Drosophila melanogaster: one gene and its partners. The protein of the gene in region 4 interacts with the protein of the main gene of each other region in a pairwise test. Each region holds a gene or a part of one and is shown on either strand. Other genes may lie near its edges. The genes, in order: CycJ, Cdk5, CG32772 and E5.

The links.
Region 1: the proteins of E5 (region 4) and CycJ interact in a two-hybrid assay, tested with the Drosophila melanogaster proteins (one large-scale study listed by BioGRID).
Region 2: the proteins of E5 (region 4) and Cdk5 interact in a two-hybrid assay, tested with the Drosophila melanogaster proteins (one large-scale study listed by BioGRID).
Region 3: the proteins of E5 (region 4) and CG32772 interact in a two-hybrid assay, tested with the Drosophila melanogaster proteins (one large-scale study listed by BioGRID).

The regions. Positions count from the first base shown.
Region 1 is NT_037436.4:3,464,611-3,468,610, reverse strand, and holds CycJ (cyclin J), read right to left. Parts: upstream 2,184-4,000; 5' UTR 2,073-2,183; coding exon 1,989-2,072; intron 1,926-1,988; coding exon 1,739-1,925; intron 1,662-1,738; coding exon 1,239-1,661; intron 1,186-1,238; coding exon 719-1,185; 3' UTR 513-718; downstream 1-512. Other genes in the region: armi (armitage), read right to left, coding at 2,379-2,702, 2,759-3,562, 3,632-4,000.
Region 2 is NT_033778.4:15,568,990-15,573,182, reverse strand, and holds Cdk5 (Cyclin-dependent kinase 5), read left to right. Parts: upstream 1-1,765; 5' UTR 1,766-1,880; coding exon 1,881-2,048; intron 2,049-2,112; coding exon 2,113-2,300; intron 2,301-2,460; coding exon 2,461-2,825; intron 2,826-2,887; coding exon 2,888-3,051; 3' UTR 3,052-3,644; downstream 3,645-4,193. Other genes in the region: CG30466 (uncharacterized protein), read right to left, coding at 257-370, 426-1,505, 3,645-3,668; Flo1 (flotillin 1), read left to right, coding at 4,013-4,064. UniProt on the Drosophila melanogaster protein: Probably involved in the control of the cell cycle. Interacts with D1 and D3-type G1 cyclins. Possible regulator of neuronal differentiation and/or development.
Region 3 is NC_004354.4:4,907,541-4,915,153, reverse strand, and holds the start of CG32772 (uncharacterized protein), read right to left. Parts: upstream 6,053-7,613; 5' UTR 5,835-6,052; exon of another isoform or gene 5,703-5,834; 5' UTR 5,396-5,702; coding exon 5,357-5,395; intron 4,303-5,356; coding exon 3,976-4,302; intron 2,774-3,975; exon of another isoform or gene 2,643-2,773; intron 2,412-2,642; coding exon 2,279-2,411; intron 2,210-2,278; coding exon 2,025-2,209; intron 1,951-2,024; coding exon 1,371-1,950; intron 1,309-1,370; coding exon 1,010-1,308; 3' UTR 1-1,009. Other genes in the region: CG6927 (uncharacterized protein), read right to left, coding at 6,547-7,613.
Region 4 is NT_033777.3:13,871,882-13,876,533, forward strand, and holds the start of E5 (E5), read right to left. Parts: upstream 3,036-4,652; 5' UTR 2,716-3,035; intron 2,373-2,715; 5' UTR 2,299-2,372; coding exon 1,419-2,298; intron 1-1,418.

The DNA of each region.
Region 1 (4,000 bases), on a different chromosome or scaffold from region 4:
TTCCTCGATGCATTCCCGCCTTGTGCATTTAGGGGCTAGGCTAGATATATGAGACGTACGTCAAATTGAAGTGTAAAGAGTAACATCCATGTTTAAGTTGATTCGATTGTAACGACACGAAATCTAAGGAACGAAGAGTATTCTTTGGACAATCAATTAACTTCTAATAGCAGTTAGTTTTAATCTTTTTGCATTTGTGAAGCTGAAAATGTATTGAGAACTGTCCAAAGTTTGCTTGAGTTCCGAAATCTATCTCGTTTCTTTTTTGTAAAAACTCGATCTTAAGTCATACAACCTATGTAAAAATAAGAAAGCCTTAATGACCCTTTCATTGTTCCTTAACTGACATCTTTAATTTGGCATTCCAAATTGAATTGTAAACCCTTATAGTTATAAGAATTTTTAATTTGAAAGCTCCCGCAAACGTCTGATTAAATTAAACAAGGGGCATTGTTCTTTAGCGAATTATAAATAATGTCTTCGTTGTTTTTAGTTAATGCATCATTTTTGTTGAGTTTTTGACATATTGTATTTATAAGTTTATAAGATAATTTCAAATATATATTAAATACATATATATTAAAGCATAACATCACGATTATTATATGGGTGAGGTTCAACTCAATTGAACAAGACCATATCTACGTTATGGATGTCATTTCACTTCTAAGCTATTTGGATTTCCTCCAAATGGTAATAGTTTCGTTTTTCCCTTTTACTAATCTTTGGCTACACTCTCCACTTTGGCGTGTTTCAATGGGTGCTGGTTTTCGGTATCGTCTTCAAAGCGCGATCGCTTCAAATTCGTTTGCTCTTTGGGAAGGAAAGTCGATGAATGTGGAGATGGATCCTGCAGCTGCACGGTAATTATGTTGTAGGTCTCTACTGTGACCACTTCATCGGAGACCACCAGGTTTGTGTTCTCAGTGAAGGACTCCTCGAATCCGGAATCGGGACTGGCTAAACTCTGGTTGGTCTGAACAGAGGGACTACCGTAGTCGGTCTGAATAACATGGTAATAATAATAGTCGGTCAGAACGTTCATGTACGGCTCGACATTCGCCTCAGTATAGGAGGTCAGTCCAACTAGGTACTCCGACCAGCGCCTGACCCCGCTGACCTGGCGAACTGCAGCAATGCAGGCGGCAGCCAAAAGGGATGGCAGATCGTTGGCAAATCTGGAAACTGAATGAGTGTTAAGTGGTATCCAATACCTTCCATGGGAATTCGATACTCACTGTACAATGTATAATCCGCCATGCGAAGGAGCAACTGCGCCAAAATGGACAGCATCTCTTCGAAGCTTATATATCGCTGGTACGGCTGGGTGTGATGGTTCCGCTCGTACTCATCCAACATCTCGATGTAGTTCTTGAAATCGGAGCGAGTGAGAAAACTGCAGGCGAAGAGCTCCACAAAACTGGCGGTGGTGGGACGTATTAGCTCGAAGTTCAGGAAGCACAGGATCTTCCTTTCCACAGCCTTGTACTCGAATGCCGTATAGGCGTTCTTGACCAATCGGTTCATTTCGCTGTAGCGCGGAATAAACGCATCCGTGTTTTCGATCTGCGCAGCTATATGAAGACAAGTGATGGCCACCAGGAGCAATTTGTCCGGACGGATTTTGTAGTAATCAACAAAGCGATCCATATAGTAGACGGCTGGAGTGAAACGAGTTACAATGAGTTGTGCACATGGGTTTTGTGCCTGCAGCGAGGCTCCTCTGTACAGTGCTCACCCAGGTGCAAAGCACAGCGACTAAGCTTGTGGGCGCTGGTCGCCAGTTTGAGCAACTGCAGCATTCTTCGGCGCTCGTTCAGCTGCGGCGAAAGGTAAAACAAAGGCCGACGGCTGAGTTCTTGCTCCCTCATGGTCAAAAATATATCCCGGGCATAGTCGGTGAGCCAGTGCGTCTTAGCCAGGCGCTACAAATTGGTATTTAACGAAATAAAGTCGGGTTCGCAAAAGTTAAGCACATGTCCGTTCACCTCGACATCTGCTTGCGGGCAAGTTTTCTTCAATTTGCGGTCGACGACGAAGATGTTCTGCTCGGCAGCCACTTTCTGCTCCATTGTATCGAAATTGAATGCAATGCCTTAAATCACCGATTTTAAGGCAAGAACTTAACGGCGGAAAAAAGCAAAACAAATGAAGGAGAAAACAAAAGGAGCGCAAACATGGCGCTACAACGGTTCCGGCCAGTGCTACCACACTGCGAAGCCAAACGAGCAGCGTTCCCAGACTGCGCTTGGGAGTGTTACCATTCGCTAAAATTAGCACATATGTACAAATATTTAAAACAAGTTTAATGATTAATTGTGTTACTTTAATTCATCAATAACAAGTGTTTTAATTTAATAATAAACTGTCATATGTGCTTAGTTCAAATCATCTGTAGTATTCAGTGAAGGCACGAATGTTTCCAAGCAAACGGGGACCTCATCTTTCTGATTTATCACCATTTGAGGCAGATCACAGCCAAAATAGGCGTTATTTTTGACACAGAACAGGATTAGCTGGCGCCAGCATTCGTCGACGGCCAGAAGATGGGGATTCCCGAAGATGATCATCATGGCACGTGCTCGGGAAACGGCCACGTTAAGTCGCTTGCTGCAACGCACGAATCCCAAGGAGAAGCGGGCATCCATGCGCAGGATCTCTTCTGATGAACGCACCGTGGATATTAGTATAATGTCTCGTTCCTGGAAATAACAAACGTTAAGTGTGCACGTAATATCGATTTTAGTTCCGACCCCACCTGTCCCTGAAACTCCTCGACGGATCCAATCTTCGGCATGACCACGTCGGTGCCAATGAACATACTCCGAAGCATCTTCACCTGCTTCTGATAGGGCGTGATTATACCGATCTGATCGGCAGTCACATTGGCACGGTACAGGGCGATGGTCATTAGGAACACCTCCCTGACCTCTTGGGGATTGAACCAGGAAGGGGAATCGTTATTTTGCCTGTTTTCGCCAATGATTCCGTAAAAGAACGTGCCGTGCGCTTGAGGGATATCCTTTTCTGACTCAAATACACACCGCAGTTTACTTAGTAGGCGAGATTCCCTTGAATCCTTTTCGGAAAGAACTGGGATCAGTTCGTCATCGTAGAATAGCCTGCTATAAATGCTCATAATCGACGGTAATGCTCGGTAATTGTACAACAATTTGGTTAGCACTAGTGGATTGTAGCCGGAGCTTTCGGGAAATCGCTGAAGATCTTTTCGATACGGCGACCGTTCCAGCAATCTCTCCAGAAAGGATATGGAAAATCCCATTTTCGAGGCAATTCGACTGGTGACAATAGACTGCAGCTGGCGAGGATCACCTGAGAGAACAACTTGAGAGCGTTTCTTCGTTAGCATTACAATGGGTACCATTGTTTCTGGTTCGGTGCATTGACCAGCTTCATCGAACAGCACGTGAGTGAAATGGCCCGCTGGAAACCCCAATTGTAAAAAGTTTCCCAAAGTAGTGCAGGTGGAGATGGTAATGCGATGAGTACCTATAAACTTAGCTTGACAGCGAAGCTTCAATCCCGATTCGGTGACCATCATCTATAGCAAATATCAACAAAGCCAAGATTAATTGGTGTCCAATCCAAATGATAAAATTTTTCTACTCACTTTGTCCTCGCAACTGCCCACAGCACCGACATCACTTGTGGCGCAGTAGCTCATTATTTCCGGAGGAATCAAGTCTTTCTCCACTTGATTGTACGAAACGAGGCGAATGAAATCTCCCTGGAGCAAAGCTTTGCTATCGATGAGCCTCTTTGTCACCAAATCCGCTGAGCTGTTCGACGGCGTTCCCACCAAGATTCGGGCACCAGGCAGATTCCTAACCAACTGGAGTAGTGTCTCAATAAGTGTCATTGTTTTTCCACTGCCCGGAGGCCCAAACAGCACATAAGGAATGTTCTCCGCTTCACCGCGCAGTATATTGAAAACAGCACGTTTTTGGATGGAATTAAGCGACTGATTATACCACTCTAA
Region 2 (4,193 bases), on a different chromosome or scaffold from region 4:
TTGACACACAGTCTCAATAAAACTAAGCCTTTATTTTGTAACTAATAGTACTGTCAATCCTTGGCAGCTTCTAGAGGAGCTTGCATTGAAGAACTCCTGGAAACTTCTCATTGAAATCCGCCGGTAAGGTTGAATCTTTTCCATAACCAGGGAAAACGTACAACTAATTATTTGGCTCGGCCATTTAAAGTTATCTATCTCAGCTGGCATATCAAACTAGTCATCAGTCTACAGCTTCGTTCCTTGGCAATCAAACTCAATCAAAGTAAATTGAAACTGGATCCGAGTTAAAAGTGATTTTTGGATGCTTCATGTGCAACTTGAAAAGCCTATGTTCCCCTTGCACTTTCCAGGTCATGGGGATGGGATCCTGTAATGAAAAATATTAGAAACGAAAGCTAATATAAGTTGTGAAATACTTAGACCTCATTAGACATGAGATACGTGTTTAGTTCCACATAAATATTAAGTGCTGTGGTACGGTTTTCTCCCAGTTTCTTCGCATCGAATGTGAACTCCTTAAATCCGAAGGTGCAATGGTATATACCCAGGACCTCGTGTGTGTTTAGGTTTTGTATTAAGGTATGAAACTTAATTTCGTCCACACAAACCGAATTTTGTATATAAAATTCATTGACATTAATGTGAAGATGCTGATACGCATGCATACCAAAATTAGCCACCTTTAGGGTCTTAATAGCCACATTTAAACCGTAAGTTTCACAAAATATGGATGTATTTTGGCTTATCTCGATCATATTTATAGTGCTTCTCTTCGCAGCTATGAGAATCTCTCTCAGAAATCCGTATCTAACGTGACCACAAAGAAATAGCTTCTTCAAGTGAGTTAGACGTTCCAGTTTCGATAGGAACCACACCATCATTTCCTCCTGGAAGCACTGCAGCTGCTCTAGGTTTCTAATCCCTTTCCAGGGCAGTTCTGTGTTCGAAATCTGGTCAATATCGAAGATACCCAGCTTCAGGGATTTTATTTTTCTGGTTTTCAGGATCTGTATCAAGTTGGTGACATTGAATTTGCTGCAGTAGGAGACCGTGAGGTTCTCGAGAAACTCGAATTCATCAAAGTGTTTGCCAGTAAACTTTCCATGGGGGCTAAAAGTTGTCAGATTTGGAAAAGTTTTCAACATTCTTGGCACGTCCGCATCGTTTAAGTTAAACGAATGCGTGGAAAATCGAAAATCTTTAAGTTTTGGAAAACTACAGCTGGTAAGTGTTTCGAAGTTAGATCTATTATTCATTTTGAGCCGCAGAGTGCTGAGGATTTGTTGAGTACTTTCCAGGAAGAATAGCAAATCCTTGTCGCTCAGCTGCATTTCAATCAAGGATATATATGCACATTTGTTATAAGCACGCCACACATACGGCATTAATTTCTTAAACCGGAAATGAAAGTCTTTCAGTTTTAGTTGGGTCTTCAAGTCGAGATAACTTAGAATTATCATTAGAACATCATCGGGCAGACATAGTAAGCCAGGCTTGGTATTCTGCAAAGGGCAAAAGAAATTAGGAAACTTGTATACTTATATTTCTGCTATATTGTTGCATTGCGGTACCATAAGATCGGTGTTTATCATTGTCGGTCTATATTCGTATGTTTAGCTAATATCGAGTCCAAATAAAACAATAAAATTATAACAAAAGTTTTATCAACATTTTTAAAATGATATCTGTTAATTTTGAGTATTTTTGGTGACAGCAGACTGTCAGCTGCGATGTTGGTTAGTCACCGCGTGCTGTAAGCGAATAACAGTGTGCTGTTAGGCGCACGAATCCCTGGCCAGCAAAAACAAACTGCAAAAACAATAATCCCCGGAGTTTTCCATCTGAACGCAAAATAATACACACCAAAACACAGCAAAATGCAGAAGTACGATAAAATGGAGAAGATCGGGGAGGGCACCTACGGCACGGTGTTCAAGGGTCGCAACCGCGACACCATGGAAATAGTGGCCCTGAAACGGGTGCGACTGGACGAGGACGACGAGGGTGTGCCCAGTTCTGCCCTCCGGGAGATCTGCCTGCTGAAGGTCAGTCGGACGAGCAGGAAGTGATTCCAGTTTATAAACTAAATCGGCACATTACCATCCGTAGGAGCTGAAGCACAAGAACATTGTGCGCCTCATAGACGTCCTGCACTCGGACAAGAAACTCACCCTGGTCTTCGAGCACTGCGACCAGGACCTCAAGAAGTACTTTGACAGCCTCAACGGGGAGATCGACATGGCCGTCTGCAGGAGCTTTATGCTCCAACTGCTCCGCGGACTGGCATTCTGCCACAGGTATACCTATATATGTATCAGCACTGGATTAGGTCTTATCTTGTGTCGATTATAGTTAGAATCAAGTGTTATTTGGAGTAACTTCATCTGTGGCACATTTCCGAATGATATCCATTTTATAGCATTGAGACTTAACTTACGCTACATTATCCTATTTTAGCCATAATGTCCTGCATCGCGATCTGAAACCACAGAACCTGCTGATCAACAAAAACGGCGAGCTAAAGCTAGCTGACTTTGGTCTCGCTAGAGCCTTTGGCATTCCCGTGAAGTGCTACTCCGCAGAAGTGGTGACCCTGTGGTACCGACCACCCGATGTCCTATTTGGAGCCAAGCTCTATACGACCAGCATAGACATGTGGTCCGCTGGATGCATTTTGGCCGAACTGGCGGACGCTGGACGACCGCTGTTTCCTGGCTCTGACGTGCTCGATCAGCTGATGAAGATCTTCCGTGTGCTGGGCACCCCCAACGAGGACTCCTGGCCAGGAGTTTCGCACCTCTCCGACTACGTGGCGCTTCCATGTAGGGATTCTAGACGGATTTTATTTATCGATACCAATATTAAAAGCCTATTTATATTATAGCTTTTCCGGCCATCACCTCGTGGAGTCAGCTGGTACCTAGGCTAAACTCCAAGGGACGCGACCTGCTGCAAAAGCTGCTCATCTGCCGGCCAAATCAGCGAATTAGCGCGGAGGCGGCGATGCAGCATCCCTACTTTACGGACAGCAGCTCTTCGGGACATTGAGGTCGGAAGGTTCTTTCCAAGCCACTGTTTTCACGACCTTTGATTAGACTTAAGCCAAAATGCGAGACTTTGTCCAGCAAAGATCTTTTAATTATATATGTATGTCCTTGCAGTAGAGTTCGATTATAGTATAAGATAAAAAGTTCTTTATAATTTCATTAGTTTGATTTACCAAAGCAAAAGGTTTGATTTATGACAATCCCTACCAATGTGACACTTAATATAGCCATTTGAGCTGCCAAATTAACATTTATCGATAAAATACTTATTGATTCAGTAAAATAGTTTTATTCTTAAAAATTTTTATGTTGAGTGTATCGTTAAGATCCGAAAATTGTTCAAATTCCTAGACGATATCTACTGTTTGTGTGAATGTGGAAAAAATATTTGAAATCCTAGTTTCTGTTTTCAAAGACTAAAAACTAGGCAATACATCTGGTTTCCAAATTTAATGAGTGTCGACGATTTTCTTATTACATTTATTGTGTATTTTTAAGAATTTCGATCTTTCTGAATGATATGAGTCATTAAGTAAATTAGAATAAAAAAAATTGAGATGTAACCTAGATTTTTAAACCAATAAAGACACTTACCGCAGCACTACGTCGTCGCAGCATGATGAATATTTTGAAGTGGTCGCCTCAACCCCCGGCACTCAATAGGGGTTAAAGTCGTTCTGCGCACTCGCGAGTTAGAAATTGAGAACTTTACAGATTGAGAGATTTTTTTATTGTGCTACGAATTGCTAACCGAACCGGTCGGATTTCTGAATCTTAAGCACCGAGTACCTCGGAAATTCTTTTATATATATTATTAGACGAATAAACAAGGCTACCTGTGGATCGGATAATTCGCTATATAGTTAATAATCGGAAAACTGTGTTAACCGCGCAGATAAAACAAAAGCTGTTATCAGCAGCAACCCATTTTCTAATATAAATAACAAATAAGTGCTGCAGAAATGACTTGGGGATTTGTAACCTGCGGCCCCAACGAGGCTTTAGTTGTCTCTGGTAAATCACACGATCCTTATATGCTCAAAATAATGTCAAATCGATTAAATAAATAAGTCAGTGAATAAAAATGAAATTGTCACGCACACACACATATATATACACCCCACCCCAAGTGACGTCACTATC
Region 3 (7,613 bases), on a different chromosome or scaffold from region 4:
AATGTTGATTTTTTGTAATGGTTTATTAAAAAAAAAATAAAAACACTTAAGCTAATGCCTAACATAAATACATACCGAATTTAATCGAATTGTTTTTCACTTCTTGTTTTCGTTACTTTTCTCTATGCGTAATTACTATCAATTGTAGGTAATTTGTATTTGCTTTCTGTTTTTTTTTTTTTTTTGTTTTTTCAACATTATATTTTCCGTTTCGCTGCGCCTTTGCATTACAATAAAATTTTAATTCGATTTAAGTTTTACAGATTTCTCAACCCGATCTCATGTTTATATAATATAATGTATATATAGATGTGGGTGTTATGTGCATAATTTTATAAGTCAGTTGTGTTTTTGTCTGTCCATCTGGTGCTGCTGCTTTTTCTCCTTATCTCTTTCGATGTCATGCATTGCTGCTAATATTCTTGGAAATTTATTCAGGGGCATTTGGTTCCTCTATTGCTTTGGCTGCTGAATTCAAAACAGGAAGTGGGAGACAGACACCAAACTGAACCAGCAGCTTGCCGCCGACTCTAAATTCGGGATGTTTTGGAAGTCCACTCGCCGATTTCAAGATAATTAAGTGGATTCTGATACCCAAAAAGTTGATGCTGAACTCAATGCGAGAGTAGGACAAGTGCATCTCAGAAAAACTAAAAGCTAGCTTTAATCGATGAACTCGACTAACTCCCCCATTCCATTCTGATTCAGAATTCAAGGACGAAAACGCTTCCTACTGCCTGTTCCATACCTTTTTTTCACCAATCCAGCATACGCTTAACTCCACGGGTAACGCATATAAAGAATGATTTCTACATCAACTTCAGACACCCAAAAGTATTTAGAGATCTGCAGAGACTCCAAAACATCCGCGCCATATATCTAACATATTTTACGTGTGTATGTGCTGAATGTGATGCTACTTTGGCTATGGCTATGCTAATCAGGGACTTTAGCAGCTGATCGTTCGGGGCTTAAGCTAAAAGAGACCTTCTTTCCATTCTTAACTAGCCTACTTAGTGGGTATGAAACGCGCCTTGACCGCCTGTCCCATCGGCAAGTGCAGCAGTTGCTGCTGCTGCGCCGCCTGCTGCTGTTGTTGCGCCGCCTGCTGCTGCTGTTGTTGTGCCGCCTGCTGCTGCGCCTGCTGCTGTGCCGCCTGCTGCTGCATGTGCTGATTGATCTGCTGCTGGATGGACAGGCCGCTGACATTGCTGATATGCTGGCTGTGGAGCGATTCGTTGATCTCGATCTTGATGGCCGTGGCGGCCAGCGTTGTCGCCTTGTTCTTGTTCTTCGGCGGACGCCCACCTGGATATGCAACGAAAGGCGTAGTGAGATTCAAAGTGAATGAGTGAATGGTGAGCACTTACGTTGCCCTGTCGTGTGCTGCAGTGACAACGGCTGGCCGATCATCGCCAGCGGCTGTTGCGACGTCTGCAGCGTGCCCGCCTTCTTGGATCGCTTCGGAGGCGGCAGCTCGTGGTGGGCGTGATTGGTGAGCAGGTGCTTGGAGAGGTGCTGGCGCACCGCAAAGGACTCGGCACAATTGGCCACCGGACAGGAGAGGTAGCGACCCTCGACATGGCGCTGCACGTGCTTCTTCAGCAGCGACTCCTGATTGAAGCTACTCGGGCAGATGTCGCACTTGAACTTGAACTCGTCGTGCATCTTGAGGTGCTGGTCGAGATGGGCCTGCTGCAGGAACTTCTCGTCGCACTTGTCGCACTCGTACGGAAAGGCCAGGCCGTGGGTCTTCATGTGCGTATGCAGCTGCGACTGCAGTTTGAAGTTCTTCTCCGGACAACGCGGACAGTAGTAGCCGGTGACCCCAGCGTGCGCCTGCAGGTGCTGGTTCAGCGAGGTCACCTGCGTGAACTTCTTGTTGCACACGTTGCAGCAGTACTGCTGCACCTTGTGGTGCGACTTCATATGGTTGTTCAGGTTCGTCACCTGCAATGCGAGAACATATCGAGCCGTTATTATCATAAATCCTCTGCAATTTATCAATTTATCTTGGAACTGACCTGGGCGAAGCTGCGACCGCACTCCGGTTCATTGCAAACGAAGGGCCGTTCGCCGGTGTGCAGCCGGCGGTGATTGTTCAAATTGGTGATCTGCGTGAAGGTCTTGCCACAGTCCACGCACTGATATGGCCGATCGTTCGTGTGGATGCGTTCGTGGTTCCGCAAGTTGGCCGCCTGCGTGAAGCCTGAAAATCCAAGAGGTACATCGATTGTTAAGAACCAGATGATGTGTGCGAACGGCATATGGGACTCACCTTTGTGGCAGTAGGTGCACACAAACTTACGCTCCGCCGAGTGATTTCGTATGTGCGTCATGAGCGAGGATTTGCGCGAGAAAGTTTTGTTGCATAGCGGGCAGGAGCCCTCCTCGTTGAATATCAGATCCACCTTAAAGAAACAAATCGAACATTAGTTGCAAAGGGCTTGCCTTCTACCGCGGGTTACCTTCCATCAGAAAGGCATTATATATGATATGCCATTTTACTTTAATACAACCTACTATAAATTTATGCGAAAAACCTTTTTTCTAAGCTGTACATTATATATGCATATAGTTCTAACGAATAAGTAGCCAAGTGCACATCACTGTGTCACTATCGCCCTCCCACTCCCACTCACGCTCAACAAGCTGGCGGCCAAAAGAACGGATTGCAAATTCCCGTGCGAATTCAGTTTGTTTATTGGGGAATCACTTGAGTTACATTTAATATTTTTCACGAGCTTTTTTTTTATTATAATTATTTTATTTATTTTTCTGCGTGCCACGCACACCCACACACCAAAAGCGCCAACTGAAAATGAATTTTTTCCGCTTTACACAGCGCACAAAAACGCCGAGCTGCGTCGACTTCGACGTCGACGTCGACAGAGCAGATATTAATGGAAAAAGAAGCACAAAATATATGTGTATATACATATATCTATATATATATATATATATACATATAAATATAAAGGAAAACAAGAAAATGAGCAGTGCGAAATGTAGCAAGTGGAATAGAAAATACTCTCACGCTCAACACTTTTCTAACCCGTTTGTAATGCATATCTGTAGGGCCTACCGTTTTTAATCTTCTATAAGAACTTTCCAACACTACCACGTCGACTGTGTGATGGAATGAGACTGTACTGAAGTTTTTTTTTTGAAATTTATGTAAATAGCAGCAATAGTAAATAGTATCTAAACATGTCTGCAATAGAGCATTCCCAAGTCGTCGCAAGGCAATTTTACATTTATTTATACATTTTTTTTTTTTGCAATTCTCTGTTGCATGATGGAAAAAGAAAGGCAACAAGAACATGCAAAGAAACGGCGAAATAAGAAGTGAAGAAGAAAAGCAGCGGCTATGAATGTGCAGTGTGTCCGTGTGCATTTATGTATATGTATATGTAAGACTTTTGTGAGCGGGGGAGTAGTAGTGAAATGTAAGAAAATGAAGAGAAAATAGCACAACAATAATAAACAAGTGCAGCAAAAGGAGCAGGAGTCGAACTCCCTGGGAAGTAAAGCACTCTTCTGAAAACGGTTGATGGGGGTCTTCAAACCCCTATAATTCCAAATGCAATGCATCTACTGAGGATTGCAGTGAACTCTGTAATTAGGTTTAAATTGTCAATTTTTTTGAATCATTTATAGTTTGATGGGCAATTGCATTGATTGGATTCCTAAACCATAGAACACTTTTCGTGGACTATTAAACATTAGGATTAAATTTTAAATTTATTCATAGATATTAATATACATATTCAAGACGTTCATATTTTAGTTGAAAATAAGAACGACCTTCAGTTATTTACTTTATTTATCTCCTTTAGTAAGCCCTTTGCAGCACTGTATTCGCTGCCACTTCTTGCCATGCCTCTCGTAACACTACACGTAGTGCAACCCACTCACTATGCCCTTTGCAACACTCTCCCTGCCTTGGTATCCCAATCCCTGAAATGGACTTACGTCTTCGGAGTCGTCCTGCGACTGTAGGTTCTCGGAAGAACTGGATGATTGCATTTGCTGCTGTTGTTGTTGTTGCTGTTGCGAGTTCTGATGCTGCTGCTGCTGCGGATTCTGATGCTGCTGCTGCTGCGCGATGGCGTCGCTGTCGCTGGAGGAGGCCGTCGACGAGGAGGTGGCCGCCGCTGCTGCAGAGGCGGCAACTGCGGCCGAGGCAGAGGCAGCGACGGCTGCAGCGGCCGCCGCCGACTGATGGAAGTTGGAATTATTTGTCAACTGCTCCGAGCAGCGGACGCACGTGGGTATGCTATAGCCGGGCACCTGGAACAACTGTAGGGCGGGGGAATAGAATAGAACAGAACAGGACACGTGAATTAGAGAGTGCTTCCAATTGGAAAAAAAAAACCAATAATGCTCTTTATTTATTGTGGCAACTCAATCTTATTCCACACATACCCTCCCCCTTCCATGCCAACTAGCCCTTTCTCTTTTCCACCAACTAGAAATAAGAGCCAAGAAGATAAACACACGCACACACACAGGCACGCACACATGGAGAGCGAAAAAGAAAGAAAAGAAACTACAATAACAACAGCACCAGCAGCTCGTTGCTTTGTTGTTGTTGTTTTCATTTCATGTTATTTTTTTTCTTCGGTACAACGTTTTGTTATTCTTTCGCTTTTTGTTTTGCTTTGCCGCCGCTCTGCCAGCGGCGGCGGCAGAGGCGTCGCCTACAAAAAAGGGGTTATTTGGTAATTGTTTAAATAATGAACTAAAAACCAAGCAAAGTTAGATCTGTTTTGTTAGTTTTATAACCGCTTAACTTTAAATTTTTGGGCTTAGATGCCCAATATAGTAAACCCTCTGTCACTAAATTAACGCGCAGCCACTGCGTATTTGGCTGCCTTGGCGCAATTTCTGTCATTTTGTTTTAATATGTATTTCTTTTTGTGCGGTTCATGGGCGGCGGGAGGGGGCTGAAAGAGGGGGGCCTGTTCGGGGGAATAGGTTGAAAAGGAGTCAAAGTGAAAAGCGAGTGGCGAGCGTAAGCAAAATGTAAAAATAATATTTTTTCAAGTTGTCGGCTTGAACAACTTTTCGGGCTGAGTTGGCTAAAAATAAAAATTGTTCAGCAATAGTTTGGGGTCGCATGTGTATGTGTATTTCTTATTTCTGTGTGTGTGCGTTTGTATGTGTGTGGGGAAAGGGGGGCAATGCGCGCGCTTTTGAACCCCGCCCCCTGCGCCAACAACCCGCCCGCACAATAACAGTAGCGCGAATTCAATTGTTTAAACTCCACCAAAAGAAAAAAAATCAATAGAAATAACAAAGTGTATATACCTAAATCACATGTGTGTATATCTTTTTTTTTTTGTTAACATACCGTTGCCGTTTGGAAGCACAATCTACAGATGGTGTCCATTATAACAGTAAATAAGGAATAGGATGGGGAGCAGGAGAAGGAGGATGCACTTTGTTGCTGACTTTTGCCCCCTCTGCGGTCGTTGTTGTTGTTGTTGTCGTCCTTCTCCCTCGCAATTTACCGCTATCTTTACCGGTTAACATTCAGCGCCGTTTTTCTTTTTCGTTTATTATTATTTAGTTCGTTTTTTTTCTATCTTTTTCCTTTTCCTTCCTACTATAAGTTTGTGAACACGATCCAAACGATGTGTGGTTGTATTTGAAACTAACTTTTTGGAGTTTGGTTTGCGTTTGGATTTCGGTGATCGCTATATGGCATATTATGATGGCAAAAACAAAAAAAAAACTATATAAATGATATAGAAATTTGATTTATACGATATTTTCGTGGTACACACACACACGCGCGTTGTTTATGTTTGCCTTGCACTTGCACATACAAGCAAAAATGCGGCGCTGTTGTTGTTGCTGCTTCGAAGTTCTGCTTCTTTTTTTTGCTTAATTCCTTTGCCCTTTTTTTGGCGTAGTTACACGTGAAAAAAAAAACAAACCAGCGCGTTCGAATGCGTTTTTTTTTTGTATTTTACAATTCACGACGAAGTTTTTGTCCGTCGTCTTTTTTCCCTTTTTTTTGGGGCCCGATGTTATTGTTGCGCTGTATGCGTGAGCCGTGTGTGTGTATGTGTGGGGAAAAAACGAATACGATAAGAATACGCGGTATAGTTGTGCTGCTCTAACCCACAGGTTGGCTTGGCCGGTGCTCCTTGGCCTGGCCTATCGATATTTCTATCGATTTCCGTAATCGAAAACGAGGCGGGTAATGGAATCGTTGTTGAAAACAAGTTTTTTAATTTATTATTTATTTAATATTTAATTGCAAGTCCGAAAGATTTATTTTATCATAGGTTATTTTATTTAAATAATTGATGGTGTTTTTTAGGCAGCCATAGAATCATGAACTTTATTTTACAACAGAATAAATATAAAATCATTTTACAGAACAAAGTGAAACAAACATAATACAAAACTTTCACAATAATTAAACAAACTATGCTAAACGATGGGTACAAATAATAAACACTTTAAATTGGATACTTTTCACAATATTAAATCTACTGTGTAATCTAATAATAAAATGAAATGGACCTTTTTTTAAATACAGTAGACAAATGTCCAGAAAAACAGATTAAAGACGAGAAAGGAGAGCGGAAAAACGAATCTGGCTCGACTATCAATCCACATGGCTATTTCCTGGGGCGTTAGCGTGGTCCAGCCACTCAGATCGATCTCCTCCTGGTGCCCCGCGCTCTCCGTTCGGTTATTGTTGGTCAAAGTTTGGCTGCTGCTGGCAGCACTGATCGCTCCAGTGGACTGGGCAGAGCCCATGGATCCAAAGGCACTCTCCACAAAGTTAACATCCATCTTCTGGACGACGCGGCTGGTCCTCTGCTGATCCAGAACTTGGCCCTCCTTAATCGTGGTGATGGGCAAATTGACGGTTAGGTAATTGTTGAAACCGGCACCGCCCAGCGAGCCGGTATCCGCTGTCTTATGCAGAGCCGTGCCCGAAAAGGATCTGGATCTGGCGTGACTGCGTCGTCTGAGCAGATTCGGCGATAGAGTTGACTTCAGGATGTGTTTGCTGTTCAGTTTCTTGACGGGCACACTCTTCTTACGACGCCAAATCGTGTTAACAAAGGCGAACTCCACCATGCTGCCAAATATGAAGATGGTGCAGCCCAGGAACCACACCTCTGACACCTTGATGTAGCTAACCTTTGGCAGAGTCTTTCCCTGTGCCGAGGCCAGGGTAATGAATGTCAGCAGGGTGCTGGTGCCCAGCGTGATGCGCGGCGGCGCCTGATCTGCTTGCAGCCAGAACGATACCCAGGATATGGCCACAATCAGCATGGAGGGTAGAAAGTAGTCCATCAGGTAAAAGCCAACCACTCGCGTCAGGTGAACGGTGAAGCTGAGGGAGCTGTAGTTGCCGGCAAAGGCTCCATGACGCAGGTCACTCAAATCGGCATTGATTACCGTCTCGTTTGACCAGGAACGCTGCAGCACAAACTCGGTGAGATGCAGTGCCCCATCGTAGGTTATCGGACGCTTCTGCTCCCAGTGGAGGACCAGTTCCGACGTATTGTACATCCAACTCTCCAGCACCGTCGAGCAGTGCTGCTCATCGAATGGGAACTTCTTAAGGTTGAGCCAGCAAT
Region 4 (4,652 bases):
ACATTTCACGTTCATAAATCAAGCGAAAATTACAGGCGGCGCGGAGAAAAGTGAGAAAAAAGAGAAGGAGCGGCGGGAAATGGGAAAACAAGTAGAAAGGGAGAAAATAATGAAACGGAGTACAACATAATTAAGGCGTAACGGGGATACATGTACACTTAAGCAGGTGAAAGGCGTGTGAGTGTGCCGAAAATTATTATTATATTTAACCGGCCGAAAAAAAACATGGATACCAACATGGCCTGGAAATTCAAATGGTAATCATGAGAGCAGCGGAATGGTAGAAAAAAGTGGTTAAACCGTAATAAATGACAATGTTTTTGAGATGCGCTTTGCGGTGGCTCTTCGCTTCTATCTGCCAGTTTTTTTTTTTTACCATTCCTCTCGGTTCTTTGCTTGGTTGCCCCAAAACCTCAATTAAAAACGCATTAACATTTCAATGGTTGCACTTTTCGTACGTTACACATACGCCGCATGGGCCCGCCGCATGAGTAACTGGCGCCGTCTGTTGGCCATTAATGGTAATTTCGAGTGAAGAGAAAAAGTATAAATAGAGCAAATAAATGCTAAACACACACTCACACACTTGGCTGGCCATTTAGGTACGCTGCTTGACCTAACGATGTGTGTAATGTTGTTTAAACAATTTAATTAAAATGTAATTTGTTTGGAAATAGTTATCAAAATGGGTTCGGTTCCCTCCACATTCCCCCCTTCCTGTTCGCTCCCATTCTCCGTCCCGCTCCCTCTGATGATGATGAGCCCGATACACGTCTAATTAACTTGTAATAAATGTTTGCCATTTGCTTATTTAACTTTAATTATATGGAGCTGCGCGGCAACAACAGCGATAACTGAATAATTGCTTGATTGGGGTCCTCTCTACTATAATGGTGCTGGGCTTCGAATATGACTTAAGGTGTGGTTTCTTTTTCTCTGTCGCTCGCAACACTCAGCGGCCATTTGAAACGGCTATAATGAATGCGGAAAACTCGTTATAGCGAAAAATAACCAACAAAAGGGGTGGTTGCTATCTCCAGAAGAAGAAACCGACCGTAAACTATCATAATATTCTAATGTTCAAATATGAAAAATATATATGTAACAACTATCTTTCTAATAATCCGTAAAAGAGAGATGTACTCTTATTATCAGAATAGGGTAAATATTAAATTAAATGATATGTATTATTGTTATATAAACTGTTATTAATTTTGCAGTAAATTTATTACAAATAATTGTTAGCTTAGATGATTATGCATAAAAATTATATTTTTCAATTTATAGAAATAATTTTTAGCGGTTTTATATACATATGAAAGTACCGCTTGCTAAACCGGTTAGCTTCTCTGAACTCTGAACTTATTGAAAATATTGTAATAAACAATAGATATATTTAAAACAGTGTGATTACTTACTGCCTGGGAATCGTGGAAAAATGCGTCCGTGTCGGCTGAGCAACCATGGATACAACGGATAGCTATCCCGGATCAGATGCGGCGCACTCCCGAACGGATGGTGTCCGTGGGGCGGAGGATGCCCGGGATGCGGTCCGCCGGGAAAGATTCCAAGTGGAATTTGGCCGGGCGGCAGATGCGGATGTGGACCATGTGGCGGTCCAGTTGGCACGGGCGGAAGTTGCTGTTGTTGCTGCTGCTGTTGCTGCTGGTGATGATGAGCCAGTGCAGCAGCCATTTGGAACTGGGCGGCAAGGAACGGCGGTGGCTGCGACGGCGGGTGGGGCGGACCCGCCATGCGCACCGCCATGGCGTTCGGTGAGGTGCGGTTCCCAATTAAAGCTAGATTTGGCGCCGGCAGAGGCAACGGACGGATGAGGGTTGGAGGATTTCCCGTTCCCGACGATGGATCCCCGGACTTTGCAGTATTCCCGGCCGCTGCCGGATTGCCTCCTGCATTGGGGGGCGATGGCGACCGGCTAACCGGTGATCTCTGAGGACTGCGCGATCGATCCAGCGAATCCCTTCTGCGGCAGTAGATATAGCCCCTGGGCGTCCGGCGCCCACTGTTGTTCGTGTTCGTTGGCGAAGCGGGACTTTCGCTGCGCGGCGGCGGCGAAGATATCACACTGACCCTTAGTGGAGCCGATCTCGTCGAGGATTCGCCCACAATCGAGTCGATGCTGAAGGCCAGCTTGGGCTTGCTGCTCGCGGAGGCGGAAACGGTACTGCTGGCGGAAACGGAAGTCGAGGATGCGGCCACCGAGGAGCTGCTGCTCACAAAAGGACTCGTCGGCGCCATGGGCAGCATGTTGAACGTTTGCCGGCCGCAGGTGACCATTTGGTAGGGGTTTCGTTGATTGGAAAAACAAATGAATCACTTTCCCTCCTCTTAAACTTCCCGATTCGAAGTCTCTGCAAGTCGAAGTAGATTATAAGAACACTTGTAGGCCTTAAATTCCATTTTTTCCATTCCATATTTGACTTTTTTGAAAAAAAAAATTTTGTATTTTCGAACGGGATAAATCAGTAAATAAAAGAATAATGCTCAACTAAAAGTTTTAGGAATAAAATAAAACGGTAAAAATCCTACTAAAATCAAAGGGAATGGAAATTGAAATGGAATTGAACTGAATAGAAACGGAAACGGAAAAAGGGTTGTACTGATCGAAGCTCCCAATAAATGGGTTGGTGCTATGGAAACATGATCGCGTACATCGGTTAATGGTTACTAGATATCAGATAAGCACACACGCACTGTTTTTCCGATCAGATAGCTATAGCTATATAGCTACGTAGCGTTGTATCTGCGATGCTCCAGCGGTTGGCATCCGTCGGCGTGACATTGATAAACTGTAACTGTAACTGGAGCGGCGGCAACGCGGCGATTGGAGCGTGACCGTACCGCTTCGCTGGACGATTGACGGCGGCGATTGATGGTTGGCGATTGACTATTGGCGATTGACGGTGGCGGTGGCGGTATCAGTTAACGGTTAACGGTTATGCCGGCTACCCGGTAACGAAACGATTGCGGTGGCCGCGCTGCGATGATGATGAGCACTGTCAACGCCATTAGCATTATGGAGCGTCTAAAGGCGTCTAATTGTTGGCTCCACTTCGCCGCTCGCAACCTCTGTCTCTCTCTCGCTTTCTCTCTTTCTGTCCTGATTTTTGGCGGGGGCGTCGGCGAATCGCTGCGTGGCTCTCACGCTGAGCGTTTTAGCTCGAGTGTCGCGTTGGAAAAAGCCGCAAAAAGTTTGTGGGGCCAGTTCGAGTGTGCTTCTTCTTCCTTTGCTTGTACTTCCAGCGCAGCAATACTGCTGGCGTCTCGCTCGCACACGTGGCTCGGTGCGCGTGCGCCAAAGCAGCGCAACAATAGTTCAGTGGATATTCCGAAAACCTGCTTGGCTCCAAGTGGAGCCACCTCCTCTCTCGCTCGCTCTCCCGCTCTCTGGGCTTGTTGGTGTGTGGGTGTGTGAGGGGCCCCAATCTCTCTCTTTTTCTCTCTCTCTCTGTCGCTCTCTTGGCCATTTTTCGCACCAGTTTATGACAGCGAAACAAACAATTTGCGCTAAACAAAACAGCATCATTAAAGCGTTTGTGGTTTTAGTGCCAAGCGGGTTGGCCAGTTTGTTGGAGCGTAGGAGGGGGAACGGGGGTGGTGCACCCGAACAGTGGATAGGAAGTAGGTCTTCGATGATTAAAAATAAATATAATAAATATAACATTTAAAATTGAAAAGCGAACTGTGCCCTCTTTTAATTATGCAAATACTAACAATAAAAAAAAATTGAAACTTTATTTAATTGAATTGTATTTATTCATTGAAATATTTAAGGCTTAAACGTTTATCTTTCATCAGTAACCGTTTTTAAATTGTTTTCATGTATTAAATTATTTACTATCTACTGGAAAATCGATATTAAAAAGTGTTCAAATTTGTACATAACTCAAAAGTAGAAAATACGCATTTTTCAAAGGATATCGAGCCGATACCACTGTGCAGTGGAATCAACGTCATCGCTTATATAGCTTAGACGCCCCGTCGTCAGTGCTGGCTATAAACCACTTTCCCTCCCCCCGCCGCTTGGCCATTCTACCATTCTGAATTGGCATCTGCATCATGTTGGCCAAAAGCATTTGGACACGAAAATGGGCGGTAACTTGGTTTCTACACCTTCGGCGAGCTGCAACTGCGCGAATCTCACAGATACAGATACAGCGTGCTGGGAAGGGAACGTATCTGCATCTGTATCTGTGCGTGGTCATCCGAGTATCTGTATACCCATCCCCATCCCCATTCCCATCCCCATCCCTATCCGCATCCTCATCCGCTGGCTGTGAGTTGTGAAAATAAACACCTCGTTAAAGATGCAGGAGGAGGCATAAAACATGCAGCGCCAACTTCGCAGCCTTCTCATAGGTAAATACATGCGATTCTCCTCCTTTTGGCCATGAATGGATATGGATGTTGGCCAGAAAGGAGGCGAGAGTTGGCAAATAAATTGACGTGCGCTTGGCTGGATTTGTATGCATCTAGATAAGGCCGTTGCTTGTCGGTGGGGCAGCAGCTTTGCTGCCGCAGATGCACTCATGTATACACGTATACATATATCTATATCTGTGAGTGTGGCACCTCTGGGTGCGGTAATTGTAATTGGTTTTTACTCTTTCCCATCTCCTTTCCAGCTCCTC